Anolis sagrei: one gene and its partners. The protein of the gene in region 1 purifies or fractionates together with the protein of each later gene. This does not show direct contact. Links are inferred from orthologs where the notes say so. Each region holds a gene or a part of one and is shown in the gene's direction. Other genes may lie near its edges. The genes, in order: GDI2, RAB8B, RAB4A and RAB10.

What was found.
Region 2: the proteins of GDI2 (region 1) and RAB8B purify together in Homo sapiens (affinity purification with mass spectrometry; 3 studies listed by BioGRID and IntAct, with this or other methods). This does not show direct contact. The link is inferred for Anolis sagrei from reciprocal best matches to the Homo sapiens genes GDI2 and RAB8B.
Region 3: the proteins of GDI2 (region 1) and RAB4A purify together in Homo sapiens (co-immunoprecipitation; 3 studies listed by BioGRID and IntAct, with this or other methods). This does not show direct contact. The link is inferred for Anolis sagrei from reciprocal best matches to the Homo sapiens genes GDI2 and RAB4A.
Region 4: the proteins of GDI2 (region 1) and RAB10 purify together in Homo sapiens (co-immunoprecipitation; 3 studies listed by BioGRID and IntAct, with this or other methods). This does not show direct contact. The link is inferred for Anolis sagrei from reciprocal best matches to the Homo sapiens genes GDI2 and RAB10.

What each region holds. Positions count from the first base shown.
Region 1 is NC_090025.1:193,951,327-193,959,144, forward strand, and holds the start of GDI2 (rab GDP dissociation inhibitor beta), read left to right. Parts: upstream 1-4,660; coding exon 4,661-5,017; intron 5,018-7,818. UniProt on the Homo sapiens protein: GDP-dissociation inhibitor preventing the GDP to GTP exchange of most Rab proteins. By keeping these small GTPases in their inactive GDP-bound form regulates intracellular membrane trafficking.
Region 2 is NC_090029.1:2,132,391-2,140,153, reverse strand, and holds the start of RAB8B (ras-related protein Rab-8B), read left to right. Parts: upstream 1-4,763; 5' UTR 4,764-4,810; coding exon 4,811-4,934; intron 4,935-7,763. UniProt on the Homo sapiens protein: The small GTPases Rab are key regulators of intracellular membrane trafficking, from the formation of transport vesicles to their fusion with membranes.
Region 3 is NC_090021.1:61,134,362-61,142,118, forward strand, and holds the start of RAB4A (ras-related protein Rab-4A), read left to right. Parts: upstream 1-4,595; 5' UTR 4,596-4,800; coding exon 4,801-4,831; intron 4,832-7,757. UniProt on the Homo sapiens protein: The small GTPases Rab are key regulators of intracellular membrane trafficking, from the formation of transport vesicles to their fusion with membranes.
Region 4 is NC_090021.1:1,393,512-1,401,618, forward strand, and holds the start of RAB10 (ras-related protein Rab-10), read left to right. Parts: upstream 1-4,959; 5' UTR 4,960-5,258; coding exon 5,259-5,385; intron 5,386-8,107. UniProt on the Homo sapiens protein: The small GTPases Rab are key regulators of intracellular membrane trafficking, from the formation of transport vesicles to their fusion with membranes.

The sequences.
Region 1 (7,818 bases):
TTTATCACGGTCTTGCTTTCAAGTGCTCTGTGTTTCATGTATCAAGTTTTTGCCAAACTCAAGTTGCCTATGGGATTTTCCTCCTGTTTTGTTCCATGGTTTCAAGTGTCTTGCTTTGCGGATTTCTATATACTAATGGGACTTGTTTCCCTTTGAAGCATATGGACTATCTTGGATTTTGGCCTCCAACTGTTTTGCTATTTTTTACTGCTTTGCATACATATATTCTACCAAGGTGTGATGTTTAAGGTCAGAGGTGTTCCTCCTCTGGTGTACAACATACCCAAAGAGCCCCAAAAAGAAAAGACATTTCAAATGGCTTGAACTATATTGATTTTACCATATGGTTACTTCCTTCATCTGAAATGTAGCTTGCAGCACCTGGTATTCACTGTGGTCTCCCATCCAAATACCAACCAGGTTTGACCCTGCTTAGATTCCAAGATCACTTAGGATCTGGTGCCTTTTGGTATTTAGACCATTTACCTTAGGTAAAGTTAAAGGTAGTCCCCTGTCATTAAGTCCAGACATGTCCGACTCGGGGGGGGGGGGGTGCTCATCTCCATTTCTAAGCTGAAGAGCCGGAGTTATCCATAGACACCTCCAAGGTCATGTGGCCAGCATGATTGCATGGAGTCCCATAACTTTCCCACCGGAACGGTACCTATTGATCTACTCTGTTGAACTACAACATACACACATTTGCATGTTTTCAAACTACTAGGTTGGCAGAAGCTGGGGCTAATAGCGGGAGCTCACCCGCTCCCCGGATTCGAACCACTGACCTTTCAGTCAGCAAGTTCAGCAGCTCAGCGGTTTTACCTGCTGCACCACCAGGGCTCCAGCATATAGTAGGCATGGGTAAACTTTAATTCCCACAATTCCTAACACTGTTGAATGAATATTTTAATTAAATCTTTCCAAAGTTAAACTACGAAGCCGAACAATGCTTGCGATTTTATTCTCCTCTCTTCCTCCTAAATCTTGGCAGAACACAATCCAGTTAATTCATCCAGCCGCTTTGAGTCGCTAAAGACTGATTCGGCAGGCCCAGGCAAGCATCCGTATGAAAAATGCGATGCAACTACGAAGTGTGTTTGTGTTTGCAAGGGATCACCCTTTCCGCAGACTCAGCAGCCAAAGTACTTAGGAAGGCTTTACGTCCGCTCCATGGTTTGCATCTGTCACAGAGGGACCCGTCCTCCAGGCCTGTCTCGCCCGCACTTTCCCTCTCAGTCAACCGGAATGGAGAAAGCTTTCTGCTTCCTTAAGCCTTCCATTAGGCAGCAGAAAATGTGATTTGCTTGTAATAATGATTTCTCCTGCTCCGGTTGTGAATCGCAAACAGCATCCCTGCTTCATTTCACACCGTGAGTGAAAGGTTTACTTTCAGGGCGCAGCTCATTGAAAGGCGGGAGATCCGTGTCCAGCAGGATCTCTTCTGAGATGGAGGCGGCTTATTTGGTTTTCTTTGACATTGTAGGGTACTTATTTACTTACTCGTACTCAAAGGATGATGGTCCTCCAAGGTTGGTGTTCTGGCGGTGGGTCCGTAGGTGGTGGTCTTCCATGATGGGTTTCCTTGTGGATTCGTAGGTGACTGTGGAGCCCTATTCTTGACCTGCATCTTCTCTCGCAGTGAGGACATCGGTTTCAGGTGGAAGGCAGTCCCAGTCGGGGTTGGCTTGACGCACCTTCCTCCTGGCACGTTTCTCTCTTTCACCCTCCATTCAGGCCTCTTCAAATTCTGCAGCATTGCTGGTCACAGCTGACCTCCAGCTGGAGCGCTCAAGGGCCAGGGCTTCCCACTTCTCAGTGTTTATGCCACAGTTTTTAAGGTTGGCTTTGAGCCTGTCTTTCCATCTCTTTTCCTGCCCTCCAACATTCCGTTTTCCATTCTTGAGTTCGGAATAGAGCAACTGTTTTGGGAGATGGTGTTTGGGCATCCGGACAATGTGATTGGTCCAGCAGAGTTGATGGCAGAGGACCATCGCTTCAATGCTGTTGGTCTTTGCTTCTTCCGGCATGTTGACATTTATCCACCTGTCTTCCCAAGAGATTTGCAGGATTTTCCGGAGGCAACACTGATGGAATCGTTCCAGGAGTTGCATGTGACGTATGTAGACAGTCCACGTCTCAGAAGCTTATAGCAGGGTTGGGAGGAAAATAGCTTTATAAACAAGCACCTTGGTATCCCTACGGATGTCCCGGTCCTCAAACACTCTTTGCTCCATTCGGAAAAATGCTGCACTCGCAGAGCTCAGGCGGTGTTGCATTTCAGTGTCAATGTTGATGTCTGTAGACTGTCCACGTCTCGCAGGTGTATAGCAGGGTTGGGAGGACAATGGCTTTATAAACAAGCACCTTCGTATCCTTATAGATGTCCCAGTCCTCAAACACTCTCTGCTTCATTGGGACAAATGCTGCACTCGCAGAGCTCAGGTGGTGTTGAATTTCAATGTCAATGTTGGCTTTTGTGGAGAGGTGGCTGCCAAGGGAACGGAAATGGTCAACATTTAATAATAATAATAATAATAATAAAACTTTATTTATACCCCGCTACTATCTCCCCAAAGGACTCAATGCGGCTTACATGAGGCCAAGCGCACAGTACATCAGTAAACAAAGGCAATAACAAAAACAATCAATACAAAACAATTAATATAAATCACATAAACAAAAAATATACAATAACAGTAACACACAAGCATTTAAAAATGGTGTAACATTTTCTAATGTTACACCATTAAGCTGTATCTCTGGCATTGGAGAGGGATTGGCTGGTGACTGCTGGAAGAGGACTTTGGTTTTCTTGATGTTTAATGACACGCCAAGCTGCTCGTATGCTTCTGCAAAGGTGTTTAGAGCAGCTTGTAGGTCTTCTGAATGCACACAGACGACGTTGTCATCAGCATACTGGAATTCTATAATAGATGTTGTTGTAGGGTAGGTTTAGAGGAAAGCCTTGGGATCGGATGGGAGTTGCGGTCGTCCTGGTATTGGAGCTGTTTCCACCGACTACATTGGAATTGAAGATGCCAGTTCTTGACTTCATTATATGACGGGGAATCATCACAATAAATCCTTTTCACCTCATTGAACGTCTCCCTTGGTGTGCGGCCTTTCAAGGAAAGGAACTTGAGGACTGCTCTGTGTTCCACTGGGTCCATTCTCAAACCTCACACCACTTCAGCACCTGTCTCATCAAAACCATTAAATTGGCACGTAACCTATAAAGACTTTGATCATTACACATGTGCATTTTCAGCAATCTGTGATAAACAGAAGTGGGTTAGAGAGAAATCTTTAATGAACGCCCCTTGTAAAATTGCAAATATATATATATATATCCAAGATTATAAGAGATTTCAAGATATTTAAAATCCAAGAGTTAGGTTAAAATTGCAAAATAAATCCAGAATTACAAGATATTATAAGATATTTTTAAAATTCCAGAATAATGTTTTAAAATTGCAAAAATAATCATTGCAGAATTACAACTATGTTAAGGTTAAATGCATTTTAAAAATAAATAATATATAAGAAAAATTTCTAGAATTATGTTTTAAAATTGCAAAAATAATCATGGCAGAATTACAACTATGTTAAGGTTAAATGCATTTAAAAAATAAATAATATATAAGAAAAAAATCCAGAATTAATGTTAAAAATTGCAAAAATAATCATGGCAGAATTGCAAATATTTTATTGTTAAATGCATTTAAAAATAAATAAAATAATGGGAAAAAATCCAGAATTTTGTTTTAAAATTGCAAAAATAATAATTGCAGAATTACAAATATATTAAGATTAAATGCATTTAAAAATAAAAATAATATAGGAAAAAATTCCAGAATTATGTTTTAAAATTGCAAAAATAATCATTGCAGAATTACAACTATGTTAAGGTTAAATGCATTTAAAAAATAAATAATATATAAGAAAAAATTCCAGAATTAATGTTAAAAATTGCAAAAATAATCATGGCAGAATTGCAAATATTTTATTGTTAAATGCACTTAAAAAAATAAATAAAATAATGGGAAAAAATCCAGAATTTTGTTTTAAAATTGCAAAAATAATAATTGCAGAATTACAAATATATTAAGATTAAATGCATTTAGAAAATAAATACAATATAAGAAAAAATTCCAGAATTATGTTTAAAATTGCAAAAATAATCATTGCAGAATTACAAATATGTTAAGGTTAAATGCATTTAAAAAATAAATAAAATATAAGAAAAAATTCCAGAATTATGTTTAAAATTGCAAAAATAACAATTGCAGAATTACAATTTTTTTAAGGTCAAATGCATTTAAAAATAAATAAAATATAAGAAGTTCAGGATGTATGTATTTATTTGGAGCTCAGAACCTCATTATGCACCAAAAACTTTGCAAGGCAACCTTTCCCCAGGTCCCTTCTCGCTTATGCGCCTGCGCCAAAACTCCCAGGCTCTGACGTCAGCAGGAGCCAACCAGCGTGGCAGCGGCGCCGAGGGGCGTGGCCTTCCCCCTTTCGCCCCGCCCCTTAGCGACAGCGTCTCTTAGAAGGGAGGGGAGGAAACAAAAAGTTGATTGACGTCGCCAGGGAGACCAATGACGGCGCCGGAGCGGCTCAGACACCACCTCGAGCTCCTCCCATTTTTTTCGGCCCAATGGAGAGGCCTGGGGCGGCAGGAGGGTCCCGGCAAGCCCCGCCCACCCAACGAAGCCCCGCCCCCCAGCTGGAGAGGGTGAAGGCGCCAGGAAGCTCCGCCCCAATCCTGGGAGTCCACGCCTACGCCACGCCCCCTGGACAAAACCCCGCCCCCCTGGCGCGGTCTCCTCACAGCGGCGTTGGCAGAAGCGCCTCCATTTTGCGCTCCTCCTCATCCTCCTCCCGCGAAGGAAGCGAAGCCCTCGCCGGCCCTCCTCCACCTCCTCCTCCTCCTCGGCGCCGCCGCCAGCAGGTCCTCTTCGCCGCCGCCATGAACGAGGAGTACGACGTGATCGTGCTAGGCACCGGCCTCACGGTGAGCCAGCGAGCGGGCGGGAAAGGGGAGCTAATCGAGGCAGGCTCCGCAGAGAGGACTAGGCCGCGCCCCCCCCTACTCCACCTCTCTTGTCCCTTCAGGGCCTCCGTAGACATTTCTCTTTCCCTGCAGGGAATACTCTTACTACTATTAGCAATAATATAGGGATACACTGCCAATATACAGATTATATGCCAAATTATATGATAGTATATATAATATAATATTGATATAATTTAATACAATATAGTACTACTAATAATATATTGTAATTATATATTTTATATTAAATGTAATATTACTAATATTAATATTGTGCTATGGTAATGATATACTACTAACAGTAATTTAGGGATACACTGCCAGTATACAAATTATATGGCAAATTATAAATATAAATATAAATTATAAATATATGTCATCTTGTCTTTCCTAATAATATAATATAGTTTGTTGTATATACATATAATATTTATAATATTATAATGTAATACAATACAATACTAACAATAATATAGTTATACGCTGTTTGGTTGTTCACTTAAGTAACCGGATCAAATTTTGCCATAGTCACTGTTGAATGTTTTTATATTGAATATTTTATATTGTGTATAAACTGTTTTAAATTGTAAGTCGCTCGGAGCACCTTGGTGGAGAGCGACTATTTATTTATTTATTTATTTACTTTATTTGTATACCGCTCTTCTCAGCCCTTAGGCGACTCAGAGCGGTTTACAAGTTTAGATATACAGAATACAAAATCATTGTGCATTTAAAAACAATTACTATTTATTTATTTATTATTTATTTACTGCGCTTATATACCGCAATTCTCAGCCCTTCAGGGCGACTCATTGCGGTGTACAACATGAAGAAAACAAGTGCAAGAAAACAAGACATAGTGCAAAACAGTGTACAATTCATCCTAATCATAAAAACATCTTATCAAACAACAACATCAATACAAAATCACTACTACATTCCGAGTCGTCTCATCGTCAAGTCACAATCCGATCTCTTTTCCAGTGTTCCATTCCTATGGTCAATTGCCAGTCATTGCACTTATTGGTCAAATGCCTTCTTAAATAGCCAGGTCGTTAACTTCCTGCGGAATATCAGCAAGGAGGGGGCTAGCCTGATGTCCACGGGAAGGGTGTTCCACAGCCGAGGAGCCACCACCGAGAAGGCCCTATCTCTCGTCCCCACCAGCCATGCCTGTGAGGCAGGCGGGATCGAGAGCAGGGCCTCCCCGGAAGATCTCAAAGTCCTCGTGGGCTCATAGGCCGAGAGGCGGTCAGTAAGGTATTTTGGGCCGGAACCGTTTAGGGCTTTATAGGCCAGTGCCAGCACCTTGAATTGAGCCCGGTAGCAGATTGGCAGCCAGTGGAGCTGGTACAGTAGAGGGGTTGTATGCTCCCTACGTCCCGCTCCTGTTAGCATCATGGCTGCCACACGTTGGACTAGTATTATATTGCATTACAGTACAATATTATAAATATTATATGTATATATTATATTATAACATATTATTAGAATAGCACAGGAGACAAGGTGGAACTGTCCCCTGGCCCCTCTTTCTTTGCTCTGGCCCAGAGCGGCAGTTGGTGCTGTGGGGAGGGGTCCCCAACGGATGGCAAATGCAGGAGACAAGATGGTGCTGTCCCCTGGCCTCCCCTCTCTATAAAGTGATGATGATGATGATGATGAATACTAGTAATAATAATTCAATATTATAATTATAATTATATATTTACATTACATGTAATATTACTAATAATATTACAATATAATGGTATAGTGCAATATAGTAATATATACTGATATTGTACTATGTTAATAATATAATATATTGTATGAAAATATATATTGTAAGCCGCTCTGAGTCCCCTTCGGTGTGAGAAGGGCGGAATATAAATGCCATAAATAAATAAATAATAAATATAGTGCTATGTAATATATAATATTAATAGTGTGCTATGGTTATGATATACTACTAACAATAATATAGGGATACACTGCCCGTATACAAATTATATGCCAAATTATATAGTATATATAATATACATATAATATTGATAATATTATAATGTAATACAATGTAGTACTACTACTAATAACATGATCTTATAATTATATATTTTATATTAAAGGTAATATTATTGATAATATTACAGTATAATGTTATTTTAATATGTAATATATAATATTAATATTGTGCTTCTAGCTGTCCCCTGCCACACGTTGCTGTGGCCCACATGAGGGTTCTGTGTGGAAGGTTTGCCCAAATTCTATCGTTGGTGGGGTTCGGAATGTTCTGTGATAGTAGGTGAACTATAAATCCCAGCAACTACAACTCCCAAATGTCAAGATTCTATATTCCCCAAACTCCACCAGTATTCACATTTGGGCATATTGAGTATTCGTGTAGAGTTTGGTTGAGATCCATCTTTGTTTGAGTCCACAGTGATCTCTGGATGTAGATGAACTACAACTCCAAAACCAAAGGACACTGCCCACCAAACCCTTCCAGTATTTTCTGTTGGTCGTGGGAGAATTGTGTGCCAAGTTTGGTTCAATTCCATCCTTGGTGGGGTTCAGAATGCTCTTTGATTGTAGGTGAACTATAAATCCCAGCAACTACAACTCCCAAATGACAAAATCCATTTTTTGATTGAAGGATATACATTGGGTTGTTAGGTGTCTTGTGTCCAAATTTGATGTCAATTCGTCCAGTGGTTTTTGAGTTCTGTTAATCCCACAAACGAACATTACATTTTTTTTATATAGATCTCCTTCTCTCA
Region 2 (7,763 bases), on another chromosome or scaffold:
CCTGAAAATGTCCTATGCTCGACATCAAGAGCATCCTGCTTTGGCCAAATAGAGATGGTTATTCCTGAATTTCTTTTTGTAATTAATTGGCCTTTTTGTATGCCTTAACTGATACCTAATAAATGACTGACGGATTGTTCAACTGTTCACTGTTGAGTTGCCTTTTAGTGGGATTGAATTTCTGTCGCACCTCAGAGTAGAACCACCTTGCTCACGACAACAAAGAACGCACCAGCAGTAGTCTTTATAGTTTTATTAAAAGAAAAGCTAAAAGGTTCAAAAAGCAAAAGTATATTTCAAAAGATCAATCCAAGGTGACACGGGCAAACAAGATCCATGAAAACATAGGCAAGGCAAGGTCCCATGAGAACATGACAAAGTCCTGAAACATGAGCATGAAAAGCTGCAAGATAAATCCAGAGTCTCTTGGTTGAAGCGGGAAGTTGCTCTGACACCGAGGTACATTCGAACAGTCTGTTTTGCACATCGCAAGTGCTGAACCTGACTCAGCACATGGAAGATGGCTTTGAAAGGCAGCAGATCACTGGCACTGTCTTCATAGACCTCTCAGCAGCCTATGAGACTGTGAACCACCACCTCTGCCTGAGAAAAATGTATAAGTTTCGGAGTTTCGGACTGAGGTGTTATCTCTACGCAGATGATGTCCAGATCTGTCACTCCTACTCACCTGTCACCAAGGAGGCTGTCCAGACCTTGAACCGGTGCTTGGCCGCTGTGTCAGACTGGATGAGAGCTAACAAATTGAAATTGAATCCAGACAAGACAGAGGTACTCCTGGTCAGTCGCAAGGCCGTATAGGGCATAGGGTTACAGCCTGTGTTAGACGGGGTCCCACTCCCCCTGAAGACGCAGGTTCGCAGCTTGGGAGTGATCCTGGACTCACCGTTGAGCCTGGAACCCCAGGTCTCAGCGGTGGCCGGGAGAGCTTTTGCACAATTAAAACTTGTGCACCAGTTGTGCCCATACCTTGGGAAGTCAGATCTGGCCACGGTGGTCCACGCTTTTGTTACATCCCGATTAGATTACTGCAACGCACTCTACGTGGGGTTGCCCTTGAAGACTGTTCGGAAACTTCAACTGGTCCAGCGAGTGGCAGCCAGGCTGCTCACTGGAGCGACATACAGGGAGCACACCACCCCCCTGCTGTGTCAGCTCCACTGGCTGCCAGTTCAGTTCCGAGCCCAATTCAAGGTGCTGGTTTTGACCTACAAAACCCTGTACGGTTCCGGTCCAGTGTATCTGTCCAAACGTATCTCCCTCTATGTCCCACCCTGGAGTCTGAGATCATCTGGGGAGACCCTGCTCTCAACTCCACCGCTTTCCCAAGTGAGGCTGGTGGGGACGAGGAGCAGGGCCTTCTCAGTGGTGGCCCCTCACCTGTGGAACTCACTCCCGGCGGATATCAGGACATCGACATCACTCCTGTCCTTCAGGAGGAGGATAAAGACATGGTTGTGGGACCAGGCCTTCGGGCAATCTGCCAACTAAGTAAGGACAGCCAGACAAATAGGACCGGCAGGACTGATAACTGTGGAATGAACTCTGAACTATGAGACAGAGAATATTGACCGGCAATAAGGAGTAATTGGTTTGTATCGGTTTGTATGAAATATTTTATGGGTTTTATTGGTTTTATTGGGTATGGATATGATGTACTGTTGTTGTTTGCTATTTTGCGCTATTGTGTTTTTATCATTGTTGTATGTTACAGGCATCGAATTGTGCCTTGGATATGTAAGCCGCCCTGAGTCCCCTTCGGAGTGAGAAGGGCGGGGTAAAAGTAAACCAAATAAATAAATAAATAAATAAATATAATATCACCAAGGACGACCACCTCACCCGCCTCATAGGAAACCTGCTACAAAACAGGAGCTTTTTTGTTGAGTTTCAGGGCCAGAGAAGCAGATGGCGGAAACAGAAGAACGGCCTGTCTCAGGGGAGCGTGCTTGCTCCATCCATGTTCAACATCTACACAAATGACCAGCCACTGCCAGAAGGGACAGAGAGCTTCATCTATGCCGATGATCGTGCCATCACCGCTCAAGCAGGGAGCTTTCAGATGGTAGAACAGAAGCTCTCCAAAGCTCTAGGTGCTCTTACTGCCTATTACAGGGAAAACCAGCCGATCCCTAACCATATATCATATATATAATATCACCAAGGACGACCACCTCACCCGCCTCATAGGAAAATTGCTACAAAACAGGAGCTTCTTTGTTGAGTTCCAGGGCCAGAGAAGCAGGTGGCGGAAACAGAAGAACGGCCTGCCTCCGGGGAGCGTGCTCGCTCCATCCATGTTCAACATTAATATATAATAATATAATGTATAATATTAAATAGAAAATAATAATATAATAACAATATAACGTACAATGTGTAATAGAAAATAATATAATAATATATAATAATATATAATATTGAGTAGAAAATAATAAATAATAGTAATATAAAATAATATATATGGTATGGTATCTGGACTGACCTTGAAGGAGCTGGGGGTGGTGACGGCCGACAGGGAGCTCTGGCGTGGGCTGGTCCATGAGGTCACAAAGAGTCGGAGACGACTGAACGAATGAACAACAAATGGTATCTAATAGAAAATAATAATATATAATAATATGTATAATATCAAATAGAACATAATAATATAATAACAATATAACGTACAATGTAATAGAAAATAATAATATAATAATATATAATGATATAATATATAATATTGAATAGAAAATACTATAATATAATGTATGATATTGAATAGAAAATAATAGTAATATAAAATAATATATAAGGTATGGTATCTAATAGAAAATAACATAATTATATATAATAATTATAATATCAAATAGAATATAATAATATAATAACAATATAACGTATAATGTGTAATAGATAATAATATAATGATATATAATGATATGTAATATTGAATAGAAAATAATATAATATATTATAATATAATATAATGAATAGAAAACAATAAATAATAGTAATATGAAATAATATATAAGGTATGGTATCTAAAAATAACATAATATATAATAATATGTATAATATCGAATAGAAAATAATATAATAACAATATAACATACAATGTATAATAGAAAATAATATAATATATAGTAATATATAATGATGTATAATATTGAATAGAAAATAATAATAGTAATATAAAATAATATATAAGGTATGATATCAAATAGAAAATAATATAAAAATATATAAGAGAATGTATACTATTGAATAGAAAATAATAATAACGATATATCATGCAATGTGTAATAGATAATATAATATATAATGATATAATGTATAATGTTGAATAGAAAATAATAATAGTAATATAAAATAATATATAGTATGATATCAAATAGAAAATAATATAAAATATATAATATAATGTATAACATCGAATAGAAAATAATAATATAATAACGATATATCATACAATGTGTAATAGAAAATAATATAATATATAATGATATAATGTATAATACTGAATAGAAAATAATAAGTAATAGTAATATAAAATAATATATGAGGTATGATATCAAATAGAAAATAATATAGTAATATAAATTAATATAATGTCATCAGCATACTGGAGTTCTATAACAAGGTTGTAAGTCTTCTGAATGCACACAGACGACGTTGTCATCAGTATACTGGAGTCCTATAATAAGGTTGTAAGTCTTCTGAATGTCATTAGCATACTGGAGTTGTATAACAAGGTTGTAAGTCTTCTGAATGTCATCAGCATACTGGAGTTGTGTAACAAGGTTGTAAGTCTTCTTCTGAATGCGCACAGACAACGTCATCAGCATACTGGAGTTCTATAACAAGGTTGTAAGTCTTCTGAATGTCATTAGCATACTGGAGTCCTATAACAAGGTTGTAAGTCTTCTGAATGCGCACAGATGACGTTGTCATCAGCACACTGGAGTTCTATAACAAGGTTGTAAGTCTTCTGAATGCGCACAGATGATGTTGTCATCAGCATACTGGAGTTCTATAACAAGGTTGTAAGTCTTCTGAATGCGCACAGATGACGTTGTCATCAGCATACTGGAGTTCTATAACAAGGTTGTAAGTCTTCTGAATGCGCACAGACAACGTTGTCATCAGCATACTAGAGTCCTATAACAAGGTTGTAAGTCTTCTTCACAATGTGCACAGATGATGTTGTGGAGTTCTATAACAAGGTTGTAAGTCTTCTGAATGTCATTAGCATACTGGAGTCCTATAACAAGGTTGTAAGTCTTCTGAATGCGCACAGATGACGTTGTCATCAGGACACTGGAGTCCTAAAACAAGGTTGTAAGTCTTCTGAATGCGCATAGATGACATTGTCATCAGCATACTGGAGTTCTATAACAAGGTTGTAAGTCTTCTTCTGAATGCGCACAGATGACGTTGTCATCAGCATACTGGAGTTCTATAACATGTTGTCCTAACCTTGGTTTTGGCTTTCAGCCTGCTGAGGTTAAACAGCTTGCCAGCTTCCCATCCACAAGGTGAGAAATCATAGCTGTGAAGATGGAGAATAGAGTTGGGGCAAGAACAATAATAATAAGAAGAATAGGTTCCCAATTCAGGGCACACTTCCGGTCTCTAGCTCAGGGGCAGAGCATTAGGGAGGTACAAGACTACAATTCCCAGGAGGCGTTGCGCGCGGGCGGAAGCGAGAGGGCGGGGATTGGCCCCTCCTGCTCCTCCTCTGATTGGCCCCTCCTCCTGCTCCTCGCCTTGGGCCTGTCTTCCGGTGCGGGCCTGCTCATTGGGGAGGAAGATGGCGAAGACGTACGACTACCTGTTCAAGCTGCTGCTGATCGGGGACTCGGGCGTGGGCAAGACCTGCCTCCTCTTCCGCTTCAGCGAGGACGCCTTCAACACCACCTTCATCTCCACCATCGGTGAGACAGACCAGGGAGAAGGGAGAAGGCAGGCCGGGAGGGAAGCCATCCGCCCGCTGAGGGGCCACACGCCCCGGGCAGGGAAATCACGCCAGGCAGGCCTCAGGGGGGAAGCTAGGCCGCGCCTTGGCACTCCTCACAGCATCCTCATCCTAATAATAGTAATAATAATATAGCAATAATCAATGTCTACTTGGGGAGAAGGAAAGCCAGGTGGGAGGAATAACACAGAGAAAAAATAATAATAAGTATAATAATAGTAATAATAATAATAAGGATAATAATAATAATAATATAGTAATAATCAATGTCTACTTGGGGGAGAATATAATAATTATAAATGGTGTGGAAATAATAATAATAAATGGGGTAGAAATAATGATAATAATAATTATAAATGAGGTGGAAATAATAATAATAATAATAGTAATAGTAATAATAATAATATAGTAATAATCAATGTCTACTTGGGATGAGAATATAATAATTATAAATGGGATGGAAATAATAATAATAATAAATGGGGTGGAAATAATAATAATTATAATAATTATAAATGAGGTAGAAATAATGATAATAAGGATAATAATAATATAGTAATAATCAATGTCTACTTGGGGTGAGAATATAATAATTATAAATGAGGTGGAAATAAACAATAATTTCATAATTATAAATGAGGTGGAAATGATAATAATAATAATGATAATAAATGGGGTAGAAATAATAATGATAATGATGATAATAGTAATAATAATAATAAAAGTAAATGTGGAAATAAATAATAATGATAATGAAGATAATAGTAATAACAATAATATTGTAATAATCAATGTCTACTTGGGGTGAGAATATAATAATTATAAATGAGGTGGAAATAAACAATAATAACATAATTATAAATGGAGTGGAAATAATAATAATGGGTTGGAAATAAATAATGATGATAATAGTAATAATAATATAATAATAATCAATGTCTACGTGGGGAGAAGAAAAGCCGGGTGAGAATATAATAATTATAAATGGGGTGGAAATAATAATAATAATAATAATAATGATAATGATAGTGATGATAATAGTAATAATAATATAGTAATAATCAATGTCTACTTGAGGTGACAATATAATAATTATAAATGAGGTGGAAATAAACAATAGTAACATAATTATAAATGGGGTGGAAATTAATGATAATGATGATAATAGTAATTAATAATAATAATAATAAAAGTAAACGTGGTGGAAATAAATAATAATGATAATGATGATGATAATAATAATAAAAATAAATGTGGTGGAAATAAATAATAATGACAATGATGATAATAGTAATAATAATAATATAGTAATAATCAATGTCTACTTGGGGTGAGAATATAATAATTATAAATGAGGTGGAAATCAACAATCATAACAATTATAAATGGGGTGGAAATGATAATAATAATAAAAGTAAATGTGGTGGAAATAAATAATAATGATAATGATGATAATAATAATAAAAATAAATGGGGTGGAAATAAATAATAATGGTAATGATGATAATAATAATATAGTAATAATAAATGTCTACTTGGGGGAGAATATAATAATTATAAATGGGGTGGAAATAAACAATAATAACATAATTATAAATGGGGTGGAAATGATAATAATAATAATAAAAGTAAATGTGGTGGAAATAAATAATAATGATAATGATGATAATAGTAATAATAATAATAATAATAATAATAATTGGGGTGGAAATAAATAATAATGGTAATGATGATAATAATAATATAGTAATAATAAATGTCTACTTGGGGGAGAATATAATAATTATAAATGAGGTGGAAATAAACAATAATAACATAATTATAAATGGGGTGGAAATGATAATAATAATAAAAGTAAATGTGGTGGAAATAAATAATAATGGGTTGGAAATAAATAATGATGATAATAGTAATAATAATATAATAATAATCAATGTCTACGTGGGGAGAAGAAAAGCCGGGTGAGAATATAATAATTATAAATGAGGTGGAAATAATCAATAATAACATAATTATAAATGGAGTGGAAATAATAATAATGGGTTGGAAATAAATAATAATGATAATGACGATAATAGTAATAATAATAATAATATAGTAATAATCAATGTCTACTTGGGGAGAAGAAAAGCCGGGTGAGAATATAATAATTATAAATGAGGGGAAATAAACAATAATAACATAATTATAAATGGGGTGGAAACAATAATGACAATGATAATAAATGGGGTGGAAATAAACAACAATAATAATGATGAATGGGCTGGAAATAAATCATAATAATGATAATAAATGGGGTGGAAATAAACAACAATAGTAATAATGAATGGGGTGGAAATAATAATAAATATCCTTGTGGAGGGAAAAAGTGGGGTAGACATAAAATATAATGATAATGGGATGGAAATAAACATAATAATAAATTGGGAGGGAATAAACAAACATAATAATGGCCATCTGTTGGGGATGCTTTAAACGCATTGTCCTGCTTCTTGGCAAGGGGGTTGGACTAGATGGCACACGAGGTCTCTTCCAACTCTAGGATTCTATGATAATAATAAAAATGGGGTGGAAATAATAATAATAATAGTGGTAGTAAAAATGTCTCCTTGTGGAGGGAAAAAGCAGGGAATAAATAAATAAATAATAATAATGCTAATAATAACAAATGGAGTGGAAATAAACATAATAATATTAATAATAATAAAAAGGGATGGAGATAAACATAATAATAATAATAGGGTGGGAATTAATACTAATAATGTCTCCTTAAGCGGGGTGGAAATAA
Region 3 (7,757 bases), on another chromosome or scaffold:
TCTGGTTGCTTCTGGATCGAGAGAATCAGCCGTCTACGAAGACATTGCCCAGGGGACGCCCGGATGTCTTGCAATCCTGCGAGGAGGCTTCTCTCATGTCCCCCTGGGCACACAGAAGACTGGGCGACTTGGAAGGCGCTGAACAGACTGCGCTCTGGCACCACGAGATGCAGAACCAATCTTAAGAAATGGGGCTACAGGGTGGAATCCACGGCATGCGAGTGCGGAGAAGAACAAGCCACAGACCACCTGCTGCAATGCACCCTGAGCCCTGCCACATGCACAATGGAGGACCTTCTTGCAGCAACACCAGAGGCACTCCAAGTGGCCAGATACTGGCCAAAGAACATTTAACCAACTACCAAGTTTGCAAAATCTGTGTGTGTGTGTTTTTTTGTTTTTTTTAATCTGTGTGTTTGTTTTGTTCTGTTAGAATTGTAATACAATGGTATGGTTGCTGATGACACGATAAACAAATAAATCTTTCAGAGAGAGAGCAACCCCTTACAGAGCAGACTATGTCTTAAGACTTACTATGGCAAGAATAAGAGGACATAAGAGCAGGCTTTCTTGGCGGCTGCTCCCAATTTCTGGAACTTGCTGATAGAAAATGAATTTCCTTCTGCAAACAAGAGACTGACTTTTTATTCAAGCATGCCTTTGGCATATAAACTAGTTTGCTGTTGAAGGAGTTCAATGGAATAGGTACTGGCTATGTCTTTCAATGTTCTATTTTAATGTTATGATTTTAATCAATACTTATTGTTAGCTGTATTGTCAAGGTGTCTTTGATGTACTTTTTACTTCCAAGGCAAGGCATGTATGAAATGAATACATTTGTAAATAACCTATTTGTGAATAGAGTTATCTATGTGATTGTGGTACAGTAGAGTCTCGCTTATCCAACATAAACGGACTGGCAGAAAGTTGGATAAGAGAAAATGTTGGATAATAAGGAGAGATTAAGGAAAAACCTATTAAATGTCAAATTGCGTTATGATTTTACAAATTAAACACCAAAACATCATGTCTTACAACAAACAGACAGAGAAAACAGTTCAATACACGGTAACATTATGTAGTAATTACTGTATTTACAAATTTAGCATTAAAACATCTCAATGTATTGAAACAGCTGCGGACCCAGGCAGGAGGGAGACTACGTTGGATGATACAGAATGTTGGATGAAAGAAGGTTGGATAACAGAGACTCTACTGTAATTGTAATACACAAGAAGAAACAATTCTATATCCTCCATATGATTTCATACTAGAAAAAGGTCAGCTCTCAGATCAGAGGTATTTCTTGAAGAAATATGGAACACAGATAGTAGCACTTTGCTGTGGAATAATCTCTGCCAAAAAAAAATGTTTTAGCCTATCCATTTAGTTGTTTGAATTTCACCAAAATAAAAGTATAGTGGTGGTGCTCCATGCCAGGACTTCTTAAAGTTTTGCTTCTCGTGACCTCTTTCCACCCAAATTATTTTATATGCTCCAGGAATATAGGTATATATAAGATAGGTATAAAATCAAACACTGATGATAATAAATCAGAATTTTCAAGGCTTGCTAAACAGGCCGATTTTTCTTTTTGTGACATACAGCTGAAGCATTTGCTTCAAAGTCCACTACAAACACTGCATGGTTTTGTTAAGATTGGTGCAAAAGTGTGGCATTCAGAAACCTTTCCCTTTTGACAACAATGAATCATGGGGACCCCATTTGGGGTTGGACTGACAGTTTAAGAAGCAGTGCTCTATACAGCACTAGGTTAAACCAGGAAGCTCTTAAACATCTTTATCTGCAACAGCTAATGCAGTCTACAAGTAGGACACAATGGCAACAGCTCTCTCCTGCAGTCGCTCTTTGAATTCTCTGTCCTACTGAACTATTTTCTTGTGCTGCCCCACATTTAATATTTTCATACTCCTCTTACAGTTGCAATTTTTATTTTATGCTCGACTCCATACAAAAAGTCATGGCTTTTTGGTAGACACTGACAATGCCTATAGCTATATCTGTGCCCAGAATATGGTCTGGAAGTAATATTTGTTAGGAAGCAAAGAACTAGTTGGAATTGGTAAGAAGGGAGTACCATGTATGCTGAAGTATAAGTTGAATACATGTATAAGCTGTGGACAGATTTCGGGGCCAAAATTATAGATTTTGAGATGACTAGTGAATAAGTCGTGGGTCATTCTGTGAAATGAGGAAAGTGCCACCTTGGCTAACATTTTACAACTCTGGCATTCAAAAGGCCCAGAAGATTAAAGGGGTTAGTGCTTGTTTTAGGTTCCTCCAGAATGGGCCACGCTCTTGCCTTTTGCCCCTCTACTCAGAAAGGACTAGTATTTTAATAAGAGTCAAGTAAGATATACAATAATTACATTGCCCTGTGGATGTGACCCAGATTTTGGGGTTGATTTTTACTGTCTGTGCCCCTGTTCAGAAGATTTCACCTCACTTTCTGTCCCTATGATAAATGGATTTTGAAAAATGTGGAGAATATAATTTTATGAATGGGTTAGTGTCTCAACTTGGGGACTAACAAGGCAGGGCTATCTGTTCCCTGAGGATTATTGTCTTTGTGATTACCCAGTGAATAACCCATCAGGTGGGTCTGGTGCCCATGCCCATTTCTGACCTTACAAATATGCTGTCCCGAATGATGGGATTAAAGAATCCATTACGGGGAAATGGCATTCAGGAAAAACAGTGGCAGAACCTTCCAAATGTGTTGTCGAAACATCAGGAGAGAATGCTTCTGGAACATGGCCATATAGCCCAAAAAACTTACAGCAACCTTCCAAATTTCAGGAAGGGTGCCAGGTGATCGCAAGTCCTTATGGCCACACAAAAGGTTAGCCCAATTCAGGGTCCGGTCATCCTTTGTGAAGTCTGGAATCAATAGAGATGGATTGATTCAGAAGATGATGGGTGCTTGAGTCCTTTGTTGAGGTGGAGACCAGGGAGACACAAGGGGAATCCCAGGTCAAGGCGTGCCAGTGAAAGGTCACCAATGTCATGGTGGTGGCTTCATGGATCCAAAGGTATTTTATGAAATTATAAAACACAAAATATTACAACAAACACACATAAGCAATCCTTTATTGCCTATTGCCTGGGTTTTTCGAGTATGAAGGCAGTGAATCCTCTGGAGCTGGCAGCTGTTGCAAGTCTTCCTCCAGCAAGCCATCGGGACTCAGGGGTTCAGTTGGTGATGTTTGAATCTCCTGCCATGGTCCAAATGAAGACTTTTGCTGAGGTGAGGGATGTCTTGGCTTGACATCAATACGGCAAAAATATTAAATATTTAATTAAACTGCGAATAACATTGTAAAAAAATGTGCTATATTAGGTATTACTCCTAACCATTTGCAATTTTCACCCCAGGTGTTCAGTATTTGTAAATATCTTGAAGTAGTCCTTGCCTTTGGCAGCAATTTCCATACAAAGGTCTATGTAAATATTAATATATGTGTAGGACTTGCTTCTGTTGCCAGCTGTGCTGTGGTTGCTTAGGGTGAAAGCAGAAGACATGGCAATCAATAATATAAAAATACAAAGAGGATGAACAGATACAGGAAACAAAGGACGAAAAGAGGATGTGCTGCATTTTAAAAGAATCAGTGCAGCCTTCAGAAGCAGTTGGGACCGCAGCCCTCAGCATTCCTATATTGGCTATGCTGGGTGCTCCGCAATGTTTGGAGATGTCCCAATAATTTTGATCTACAACCTGTGACATCTTCACGTATTTTTTTAATGTCAGGAATGATTTGAGAAACTGCAAGTCGCTTCTGGTGTGAGAGAATTGGCCATCTGCAAGGACGTTATCCAGGGGACACCCAGATGTTTGATGTTTACCATCCTTGTGAAAAGCTTCTCTCATGTCCCCACATGAGGAGCTGGAACTGACAGATGGAGCTCTACCTGCTCTCCCTGGATTTGAACCTCTGACCTATTGGTCATCAGTCCTGCCAACCCAAGGGTTTAACCCATTGAGCCACTACAATGATAATGTGGGATTTCTAGTTTCCCAAGGGCATCTAATCGTTTGCCTCCTCAGACGCATCTATAGTCTAACGTCACACCACTTTAACTGACATGGCTAGGGTTGTGCAATGGGTTAAACCCTTGTGCTGGCAGGACTGAAGACCGACAGGTTGGAGGTTTGAATTCAGGGAAGAGCACGGATAAGCTCCCTCTGTCAGCTCCAGCTCCCCATGTGGGGACATGAGAGAAGCCTCCCACAAAGATGGTAAATCATCTAAACATCCGTACATCCCCTGGGCAACATCCTTGCAGACAGCCAATTCTCTCATACTAGACGCGACTTGCAGCTTCTATGGTTTCTTCCAACTCTGCTTCCACTGCAGCGGGGGCACGAGCGGTCACGTGGTGCGGGGCCCACTCCCTCCCCGCAGCCCCGCCCCTTTCCAGCAGGGGGGGCGGGGGCAGGAGGAGGAACGCACTTCGGGTTTCAAAACCGGCGCGCACGTGCGTTTTGTTTTGGTGAGAGGGAGAAAGAGCCGTTGGCGGCCCGGCGCGCCTGCGCACCAAGGGAGGCCTGGGGCGGGGCCAAGCGCGAGGAGCTCCGTGCGCAGGCGTAGAGCGGCCCCTTCACGCGCTGCTGCTGGAGGCGCTCTTGGGCTCCTCCTTGCCAAGCTCCCTCCCTCTCTCCCTCCCTCCCTCCCTCCCCTCGCGCTCGGAGCGGGAGGCTTCTCGGGGTGCCCTGGGGCCGCGGCTGAGGCGCCCGAAGGCCCTGCGAACCCCAGCGGCCTCCTCCTCGCGCCCAAGATGTCGCAGACAGCCATGTCCGAGACTTACGGTAGGGAAGGGGAGAGAGGAGAGGAGGGGCTGGCCTTGGCCTCTTCTGAGGGAGGGAAGCAGGGCTGGCGAATGAATGTCTATCCCTCTCAGTGGCCCAGGAGCCCAGTCCTTTCTCTCTTCGCCAATAGTGACCAACCTTTCCCACATCCCTGGACCTGTGGTGGGAATAGGTACCTTTACCTTACAAAGGCCATGACACATCTTTCGCCCTCACGCAAAACAGCATGAAAGCCACAACAGAGCGAGGCCCTTCATGGTGACCTAAAACGCACCAAACGGCTTCGTTGGCTGAGGGGGGAAAGGAGAGGGCCTGAGGCTGTTAGGAATGGTGGGAGTTGAAGTCCAAAACACCCGGAGGGCCCACGTTTGCCCAGGCCTGCTCCAACCCAACTGAACATCATCTGGTACAAAATGCAGGCCCGTGGGCCCATCAACACTGTGGTGGAGGCTCCTCCTTTTGAGGCTTTTAAGCAAAGGCTGGATGGCCATCTGTCGGGAATGCTTTGAATGCAATTTTCCTACTTCTTGGCAAGGGGTTGGACTGGATGATCCATGAGATCTCATCCAATTAAATGATTCTTTATGTAATCCAGATTATGAGTTCCCACCTGTCAGCTCCAGCTTCCCATGTGGGGACATGAGAGAAGCCTCCCACAGGATAATAACACATCCAGGCATCCTCAGGGCACCAGAAGCGACTTGCGGTTTCTCAGGTCGCTTCTGACATGATTTTAAAAAACTGGATCATATGGCAGTGTAGACTGATATAATCCAGTTTTTTAAAATCATGTCAGAAGCGACCTGAGAAACCACAAGTCACTTCTGGTGCCCAGAGGATGCCTGGATGTGTTATTATCCTGTGGGAGGCTTCTCTCATGTCCCCACATGGGAAGCTGGAGCTGACAGGCAGGAACCCATCCCATCTCGCAGTTTAACCCATTGCTCCACCAAGGCTCCACTATATAATCCAGTTCAAAGCAGGTAATCTGGAAGTTTCATGACAGTGATGAGGCCCATGATTCAATACCAGGCATGGGAAAACATTGGCCCTCCAGGTGTTTTGGACTTCAACTCACACAATTCCTAACAACCAGTAGGAGTTGGGAGTCCAAAACATCTGGAGGGCTGAAGTTTGCCCATGCCTGAAACACCATCACTTTTCAATACTTTATAAACAATCTTGCCAATGGAGCCACTAAAAGTCTGCATGAGGTATTTTGTGTGTTATGGTTGGCCAATAAGAGTATTGCACTTTTGTTGATTTTGTTTTATTTTACTGCAAATCCACATTCTCAACAAAAAAGAGGGTGCATGATGTGTCGTGCAAGATTGCTTCCTCCTAAGAGGACCTTGCATATTGCTCCCTGTTCTTTTCCATATCTTTATTTCTGTGCTCTTTTTTAAGGGCTGCTTTTTTCCCCCTACTGGACCAGGAGTGGGAAAAGAGCAAGTAGGAGTGATGTGCATTGGGTTGTTGCTTGAAGAAGGAGTACATGAGAATTGCTTTTCCTGTGAAGCACAGAGCCCTTAAGGCAGGGGTCCTCAAACTTTTTTAACAGAGGGCCAGGTCACAGTTCCTCACACTATTGGAGGGCCGGATTATGATTTGAAAAAAAACCCAACATGAATTCCTATGCACACTGCACATATCTTATTTGTAGTGCAAAAAAAAAAAAACCTCACTTAAAACAATACAATAATTAAAATTAAGAACAATTTTAACAAATATAAACCTATTAGTACTTTAATGGGAAGTGTGGGCCTGCTTTTGCCTAATGAGATAGTATTGTTATTGTTGTTATTGTGTGCTTTCAAGTCGTTTCAGATTTAGGTTGACCCTGAGCGAGGGCCGGGTAGATGACCTTGGAGGGCCGTATCTGGCCCCCTGGCCTTAGTTTGAGGACCCCTGCCTTAAGGGCTTGTGTATCTGTGTATACATTCAGTTCACCTGCTAACTTACGGTGAACCCATCAAATTCATAGGGCTTTCTTTGGGGCAAGGAGTGCTCAGAAGTGGTTTTGCCAGTCCCTTTTTCTGAAATAACAGATAACAGTGCCAGAGTTTTGATGCCAGTCTCCCATCCAAGTACTATCCAAGCTGATCCTGCTTAGCTTCCAAGATCAGATAGACTAGTGCTTTTAGATTAGTTGGGTCCTATGGCATCCTTCATTAAATCAAGCTTATCAGTAATGTGGTCTTTCTCTTTCCCTACTTAGCTTCGAAGATCTCACAGGACAACGTGCCTTTAGTTTATGTAGATCCTTAAAGGACTGCATAATACATATTATTTCAGAAGTTTTTATATCATCCATACATGGTGGGCCAGACCCATAATAAATCTCAGTATTTCTCATCCTTGTTTTCTGGTTCAAGAATACTTTCAAAACAAATATGAGGGAAGGGAGCTTAGTAGTTGTTTATTCATTCAGTCACTTCTGATTCTTCATGACCTCGTAGACCAGCCCAGCTCCCTGTCAGCCGTTGCCACCCCCAGTTTCTTCAAGGTCAAGCCAGTCACTACAAGGATAACATCCATCCATCTTGCCCTTGATCTTCCTTTTTCCTTCCATTTTCTTTAGCATCTTCCCCAAGCTTTCCTGACTTTTCATTATGTGGCCAGAGTACTTCATCTTTGCCTCTAATATTCTTCCCTCCAGTGAGCAGTTGGGCATTATTTCCTGGAGTATGGACTGGTTTGATCTTCTTACAGTCCAAGGCACCACATATGTTATACCACATATGTATAGTATAGTGATAGTGCTGCTACTACAATCTATATCAGACTAGCAAGTGATCCATAATGTCAGAGAGTGTAGAGGCGAATGGTTGCAGCTGTTAAAAAGGTAACTGGCTCTTCTTTGTGGGAAGCTATACTTGAGATGGGAATTTCCTCTTTGTGGGCTTGGAGGTGTGGGCATTTTGAG
Region 4 (8,107 bases), on another chromosome or scaffold:
ATTATTAGTAATATTACATTTAATATAAATATATAATTATAATATCATATTATTATTATTAGTAGTATTATATTGCATTACATTACAATATTATAAATATTATATGTGTTGTTGTTCATTCGTTCAGTCGTCTCTGACTCTTCGTGACCTCATGGACCAGCCCACGCCAGAGCTCCCTGTCGGCCGTCACCACCCCCAGCTCCTTCAAGGTCAGTCCGGTCACTTCAAGGATGCCGTCCATCCATCTTGCCCTTGGTCGGCCCCTCTTCCTTTTCCCTTCCACTTTCCCCAGCATCATTCCCTTCTCTAGGCTTTCCTGTCTCCTCCTGATGTGGCCAAAGGACTTCCACTTTGTCTCTAGTATCTTTCCCTCCAGTGAGCTTTAGTCGGGCTTTCTTTCCTGGAGGATGGACTGGGTGGATCTTCTCGCAGTCCAAGGCACTCTCAGCACTTTCCTCCAACACCACAGCTCAAAAGCATCTCTCTTCCTTGGCTCAGCCTTCCCGAAGGTCCAGCTCTCACCTCCGTAGGTGACTACAGGGAAGACCATGGCTTTGACTAGGCAATGGATCTTTGTTGCCAGTCTGATGTCTCTACTCTTCACTATTTTATCGAGATTGGACATTGCTCTCCTCCCAAGAAGGAAGCGTCTTCTGATGTCCTGGCCACAGTCTGCAACTGCACTCATCTTTGCACCTAGAAATACAAAGTCTGTCACGGCCTCCACGGTTTCTCCCTCTATTTCCCAGTTGTCAATCATTCTTGTTGCCATCATCTTGGTTTTTTTGATGTTTAGCTGCAACCTGGCTTTTGCGCTTTCTTCTTTCACCTTGATTAGAAGGCTCCTCAGCTCCTCCTCGCTTTCGGCCATCAAAGTGGTGTCATCTGCATATCTGAGGTTGTTAGTGTTTCTTCCAGCCATTTTCACCCCAGCTTTGCATTCATCCAGCCCCGCACATCCTTGCATGATGTGTTCTGCATACACATTAAAAAGGTTGGGTGAGAGGATGCAGCCTTGCCGGACGCCTTTCCCAACCTTGAACCCGTCTCCTGTTCCGTGGTCAGTTCTGACTGTTGCTCCTTGGTCCTGGTACAGATCCCTCAGGAGAGAGGGAAGGGGGCTTGGGATGCCCATCCCACCAAGAACTTGCCACAATTTATTATGATCCACAAAGTCAAAGGCTTTAGAAGAGTCAATGAAGCAGAAATAGATGTTTTTCTGAAACTCCCTGCCTTTCTCCATTCTGCAGCCTCCGGAGATTGGCAATCTAGTCTCTCGTTCCTCTGCCTTTTCTAAACCCAGCTTGAACATCTGGCAACTCTCGCTCCATGTCTTGCTGGAGTCTTCTTCCTTGCAGGATCTTGAGCATTCCCTTCCTGGCATGATGAGAAATAAGGGCAACTGTACGGCGGTTTGAGCAGTCTTTTGCATTTCCCTTTTTTGGTATGGGGATATAAGTTGATTTTTTCCAGTCTGATGGCCATTCTTGTGTTTTCCATATTTGCTGGCAAATGGCATGCATCACCTTGACAGCATCATCTTTTAAGATTTTAAACAGTTCAGCTGGGATCCCGTCGTCTCCTGCTGCCTTGTTGTTACGCAATGCTTCTTAAGGCCCATTCAACCTCACTCCTCAGGATGTCTGGTTCTAATTCATTCACCACACTGTCAAAGTTATCCTCGATATTATTATCCTTCCTATACAGATCTTCTGTATAGTCTCGCCACCTTCTCTTGATCTCTTCAGCTTCTGTTAGGTCCCTGCCATCTTTGTTTCTTATCATACCAATTTTTGCCTGAAATGTACCTCCAATGTTTCTAATTTTCTGGAAGAGGTCTCTTGTCCTTCCTATTCTGTTGTCTTCTTCCACTTCCATGCATTGCTTATTTGAAAATAGTTCCTTGTCTCTTCTGGCTAACCTCTGGAATTGCACATTTAACTGGGCATATCTCCCCTTATTATCCCTGTTTCCTTTTGCTTTCCTCCTTTCTTGGGCTACTTCCAGTGTCTCGGCAGACAACCATTTTGCCTTCTTGGTTTTCTTTTTCTTTGGGACGTACTTTGTTGCTGCCTCCTGAGCAATGTCGCGGACTTCTGTCCATAGTTCTTCTCTGTTTACTAAATCTAGTCCTTCAAATCTGTTCTTCATTTCCACTGTATATTTATTTATTTATTTGTCGTGTCAGAGCAACCAGTCTATTATATTACATTTCTAACAGAACAAAGCAAACAAACAGAAAAATACACAACTTGTGAGTTTGGTAGCTGGTTAAATGTCCTTTGACCAGTATCTGGCCACTTGGAGTGCTTCCGGTGTTGCTGCAAGAAGGTCCTCCATTGTGCATGTGGCAGGGCTCAGGGTGCATTGCAGCAGGTGGTCAGTGGTTTGCTCTTCTCCACACTCGCATGTCGAGGATTCCACTTTGTAGCCCCATTTCTGAAGGTTGGCTCTGCATCTTGTGGTGCCAGAGCGCAGTCTGTTCAATGCCTTCCAAGTCGCCCAGTCTTCTGTGTGCCCAGGGGGGGAGTCTCTCATTTGGTATCAGCCATTGGTTGAGGTGCTGGGTTTGAGCCTGCCACTTTTGGACTCTCGCTTGCTGAGGTGTTCCAGCGAGTGTCTCTGTAGATCTTAGAAAACTATGTCTAGATTTAAGTCATTGACGTGCTGGCTGATACCCAAACAGGGGATGAGCTGGAGATGTCTCTGCCTTGGTCCTTTCACTATTGGCTGCTACTTCCTGGCGGATGTCAGGTGGTGCAATACCGGCTAAGCAGTGTAATTTCTCCAGTGGTGTGGGGCGCAGACACCCCGTGATAATGCGGCATGTCTCATTAAGAGCCACATCCACTGTTTGAGCGTGGTGAGATGCGTTCCACACTGGGCATGCATACTCAGCAGCAGATATTCAATAGGAATGTTAGTAGTATTAGTCGTAGTATTATATTGCATTACATTACAATATTATAAATATTATCTGTATACACAATATATTATATGATAACCTATCATTAGAATAGCACAGGAGACAAAGTGGCAGTTGGTGCTGGGGGGGGGTCCCCAACTGATGGCAAATGCAGGAGACAAGGTGGAGCTGTCCCCTATATATTATATATATATTAGAGTATACATATATAAACATACATTGATATACTAAAATTCGACGACTGGGGATTCATTCCTGGGTCAGTTCCACAGGGAGCCTCTCAGGGAAGCAAGTAAGGAAGGGGGAAACAGGTGAGCCTGAAATAAACCCCTGCGCATGCGCGGACAAGGCCACGCCCCCTCCAGACCGTTGGCCCAACCGTCGTCGCAGGGAGATCTCTCCCCATTCGGAGGGAGGGAGGGAGGGAGAGCGAAGCCCCGCCCCTTTTCGGGGATGCCCCGCCCACGCTTGAGTCACTTCGCCGCCACGCGATTGGCCAGGGTATGTGTCTGTATATCTATATGTGTGTGTGGGGCCTCCTTTGCGCACGCGCACGAGCTGAGCTCTTACGTCAGAGCAGAGCGTGAGGGAAAAAGAAAAGGCCTGCCTTGCGTGCCCGTGCGTCCGTGCGTCGTCGGGCTTGCGCACGCCTCCCTCTGCGCACGCGCACTAGCCTGAGCTTGAACGCCACAGAGCTCCGCCCCTTTTCCTCTTGTGTGGAGAGGAAGAAAGGAGCGCTTCTGCGCACGCGCACTAGCCTGATCTTGACACCAGAGCTCCGCCCCTTTTCCTCTTGTGGAGAGGGTGGAAGAAAGGAGCGCCTCTGCGCACGCGCACTAGCCCGAGCTTGACGCCAGAGCTCCGCCCCTTTTCCTTTCTTGTGGAGAGGGAGGAAGGGAGCGCCTCTGCGCAGGCGCACTAGCCCGAGCTTGACGCCAGAGCTCCGCCCCTTTTCCTCTTGTGTGGAGAGGGGAAGAAGGGAGCCCCTCTGCGCAGGCGCACTAGCCCGAGCTTGACGCCAGAGCTCCGCCCCTTTTCCTTTCTTGTGGAGAGGGAGGAAGGGAGCGCCTCTGCGCACGCGCACTAGCCTGAGCTTCAACGCCACAGAGCTCCGCCCCTTTTTCCTCTTGTGTGGAGAGGGGAAGAAGGAGGGAGCGGCCGGCCTAGACGTGCGCATGCGTGCGTGCGGCCTTGCTCTTTTTCCCCCTTTGAGAAAGGGAGCGGCAGGCCGGCGTGCGTGCGTGCGTCCGTACGTGCGTCGTCGGGCTTGCGCACGCACCGAGCGCCGCCTGTCTCTGCGCACGCGCACTAGCCTGAGCTTGAACGCTACAGAGCTCCGCCCCTTTTCCTCTCTTGTGGAGAAGGGGAAGAAGGGAGCACTTCTGCGCAGGCGCACTAGCCTGAGCTTGAACGCCAGAGCTCCGCCCCTTTTCCTCTTGTGGAGGGGAAAGGAAGAAGGGAACACCTCTGCGCACGCGCACTAGCCTGAGCTTGAACGCCAAATTATTCCTCTCTTGTGGAGAGGGGAAGAAGGGAGCCCCTCTGCGCACGCGCACTAGCCTGAGCTTGAACGACACAGAGCTCCGCCCCTTTTCCCTCTTGTCGGCCCCGCCCACGCTTGAGTCACCTCGCCGCCACGCGATTGGCCAGTGTGTGTGTGTGTATGTGTGGCCTCCTTTGCGCACGCGCATGAGCTGAGCTCTTACGTCAGAGCAGAGAGAGAGAGAGAGAGAAAGGAAAGGCCGGCCTTGCGTGCGCGCGCGTGCGTGCTTGCTCTTTTTCCCCTCTCAGGAAGGGAGCGGCAGGCCGGCTTGCGTGCGTGCGTGCGTACGTGCGTCGTCGGGCTTGCGCACGCACCGGGCGCCGCCTCCTTCTGCGCAGGCGCACTAGCTGAGAGCTGAGAGGGGTAAGGAAGAAGAAGGGAGCGGCCGGCCTGGACGTGCGCGCGCCCGTGGCTGCGTGCGTGTGGCGTGAGCGCGCGTGCGGCCTACTCTCCTGCTCCTCCTCCTCTCGTGAGGCGGAGAGACAGTGACAGAGCCTGAGGGAAAGAAGCGAAGGGAAGGGATGGAGCGAGCATGAGGCCCAGCGCCGCCCGGCCGTGAAGGAAGGAAGGAAGGAAAGGAAGGAAGGAGCCCACCGGGAACACCCCACCGCCGCCGCCTCCCTCTCCGCTTGGCCTCTCCTCCACGCCGGCCGCCATTTTGTGCCTCCTCCTCCTCTTCGTCCCCTCTTCTCCTTCTTCTTCTCCCCTCGCCGGGGCTCTCCTGAGGGAGGAGGAGGGCTCGAGGGAGGGCCTGGCGTGTCCCGGAGCGGGGCGTCGCCGTCGGGCCCCATGGCGAAGAAAACCTACGACCTGCTCTTCAAGCTGCTCCTCATCGGCGACTCCGGCGTCGGCAAGACCTGCGTCCTCTTCCGCTTCTCCGACGATGCCTTCAACACCACCTTCATCTCCACCATCGGTGAGCAGGCCTCAGGGGAGGGGAGGGCAAGGGGGCACCCCAAACACCCTCCCCTCCTTCCCTCTTGCCTTTCCTCTCTTCCTTCCATCTATCCTTCTTGCCTGCCTTCTTCCTTTTCTTTCCTTCCTTCCTTCTTCCTTCCTTCCATCTTTTCTTCTTTCCATCTGTCCTTCTTGCCTGCCTTCCTTCCTTCCTTCCTTTTTTTCTTTCTTTTCTTCCTTCTATCTTTTCTTCTTTCTATCTGTCCATCTTGCCTGCCTTCTTCCTTTTCTTTCCTTCCTTTTTGCTTTCCTTCCTTCTTTCATTCCTACCTTCTTTCCTTCCTCCCTTCTTTCTTTTCTTCCTTTTATCTATCTTTTCTTCTTTCCATCTGTCCTTCTTGCCTGACTTTTCCCTTTCCCTTCCTTCTTTTTTCTTTCCTGCCTTCCTTCTTTCATTCCTTCTTTCTTTCTTTTCTTCTTTCCTTTCTTTTCTTCCTTCCATCTTTTCTTCTTTCTATCTGTCCTTCTTGCCTGACTTCTTCCTTCCTTCCTTTTCTTTCCTGCCTTCCTTCTTTCTTTTCTTCCTTTCTTCCATCTATTCTTCCTTCTTTCTTTTCTTCCTTCCATCTTTTCTTCTTTCCATCTATCCTTCTTGCCTGCCTTCTTTCCTTCCTCCTGTTCTTTGTTCTTTCTTTCTTTCTTTTCTTCCTTCCTCCTGTCCTTCGTTTCTTCTTTCCTTCCACCCACCCACCCATCCATCATTTTTCCTTCCATCTGTCCTTCTTGCCTGCCTTCTTCCTTCCTCCCTTCTCTTTCCTTCCTCCTTCCTTTCTTCCATCTTTTCTTCTTTCCATCTGTCCTTGCCTGCCTTCATCCTTTCTTTCTTTCTTTCTTGCCTGCCTTCTTTCTCCCTTCCTTTTCTTTCCTTCTTTCTGTTTTTCTTTCTTTCCTCCATTCTTTCCTTCCTTCCATCCTTCTTGCCTGCCTCCTTCCTTCCTTCTTTCCTTCCTTCTTTTTCTTTCCTGCCTTCCTTCATTCCTTCTTTCTTTTCTTCCTTCCTTCCTCCTGTCCTTTGTTCTTTCCTTCCTTCCATCTATCCTTTTTTTCTTCATCTTTCCATCTATATTTCTTGCCTGCCTTCTTCCTTCCATTTCTTTCCTTCTTTTTTCTGTCTTTTGTTTCTTCCATCCATTCTTCTTTTCTGCCTTTCTTCCTTCCCTTCCTTCCCTTCTTTCCTTCCTTCCTTTCCTTCTTGTTTCCTTCCATCTAGCCTTCTTTCCCGCCTTCTTTCTTTGCTTCCATCCATCTATCCTTCATTCTTTCCTTCCATCTATCCTTGCCTGCCTTCTTTCCTTCCTCCTGTTCTTCTTCCTCCCATCCTCCTTTCTTTCCTTCCTTCCACCTGTCCTTCCTTCCTCCCCCCCCCCAATCATCATCATCATCATCATCATTTCCACTGGGAAAAATTGCCTCTCTTTTTTTTATTCACATGCCTTTATTTCATTAATGATACTCATCTGCAAACACTGAAATATAGAGACTGTTCTTTGAGCCCCACACTCCTTTTATCCTACTCTCTTTAGACCAGGTGTGATCAAACTTTGGCTGTCTCTCCAGTGTTTTGGACTTCAACTCCCACACACCAATCAGACACATGCCTCTATTGACATGCAAACACAAACTGTACTAACCCTTGAGCACACAACTACAGAGAAAATCCTGCAAACCTCATACTCACAGGCTGTTGATCTTTATCCCTCATTAGTCCATTCATTTTAGGTATTGCTAAATTACGACACTTTTCAGAACATTTGTCTAATTCATGAATTCTACAATTGACATTCCCTCCCATCATTTCAGTGAAAAGATGGTAAATCCCAGTCTTTCTTGAAGCTGGTTGAGGATTTCTTCCTGATCAGCATCATCATCAGTTTGTTCGTTTTGGGTACTTTGCAGATCTTTTGGTGTTGGGGTAGCTGGCTCCTTCCATCCCTGTGCATAAACAATTCTTGCTGCAGTTATCATCTTCCATATTTTCTTCCGGGTTGATGGTGCAGGATTCCCAAGACATACAACTCTGGACTGGTCATGATTTTTAACTATAATAATTCCTTTCAGCATCATACATATTTTGAATTTATTATTTCTGGGCCTTTTTTTTTCAAAACCACTGACATATAGTAAAATATCCCAACCTTTTTCTCACATTCCAATATTTGATTGAACTGCCTTTGGACATCTAAGGAACTCTCTGCCATCAGGAAAAGGGTAATCATAGAATCAAAGAGTTGGAAGAGACCTCCTGGGCCATCCAGTCCAACCCCATTCTGCCAAGAAGCAGGAATATTGCATTCAAAGCACCCCTGACAGATGGCCATCCAGCCTCTGTTTAAAAGCTTCCAAAGAAGGAGCCTCCACCACACTCTGGGGCAGAGAGTTCCACTGCTGAACGGCTCTCACAGTCAGGAAGTTCTTCCTCATGTTCAGATGGAATCTCCTAATGTCGTAGTAGTAGTAATAATAACAATAATAATAATAATCTTTATTTATACCCCGCCACCATCTCCCCAATGGGGACTCGGGGTGGCTTACACAAGGTCAAGCCTGAACAACAAATTACAGCAAAATAAATCCAAAAACACATGCAACAAATAATATTAATAGAATCATAGAGTTGAAAAAGACCTCATCCAGTCCCACCCCATTCTGCCAAGAAGCAGGAATATGCATTCAAAACACCC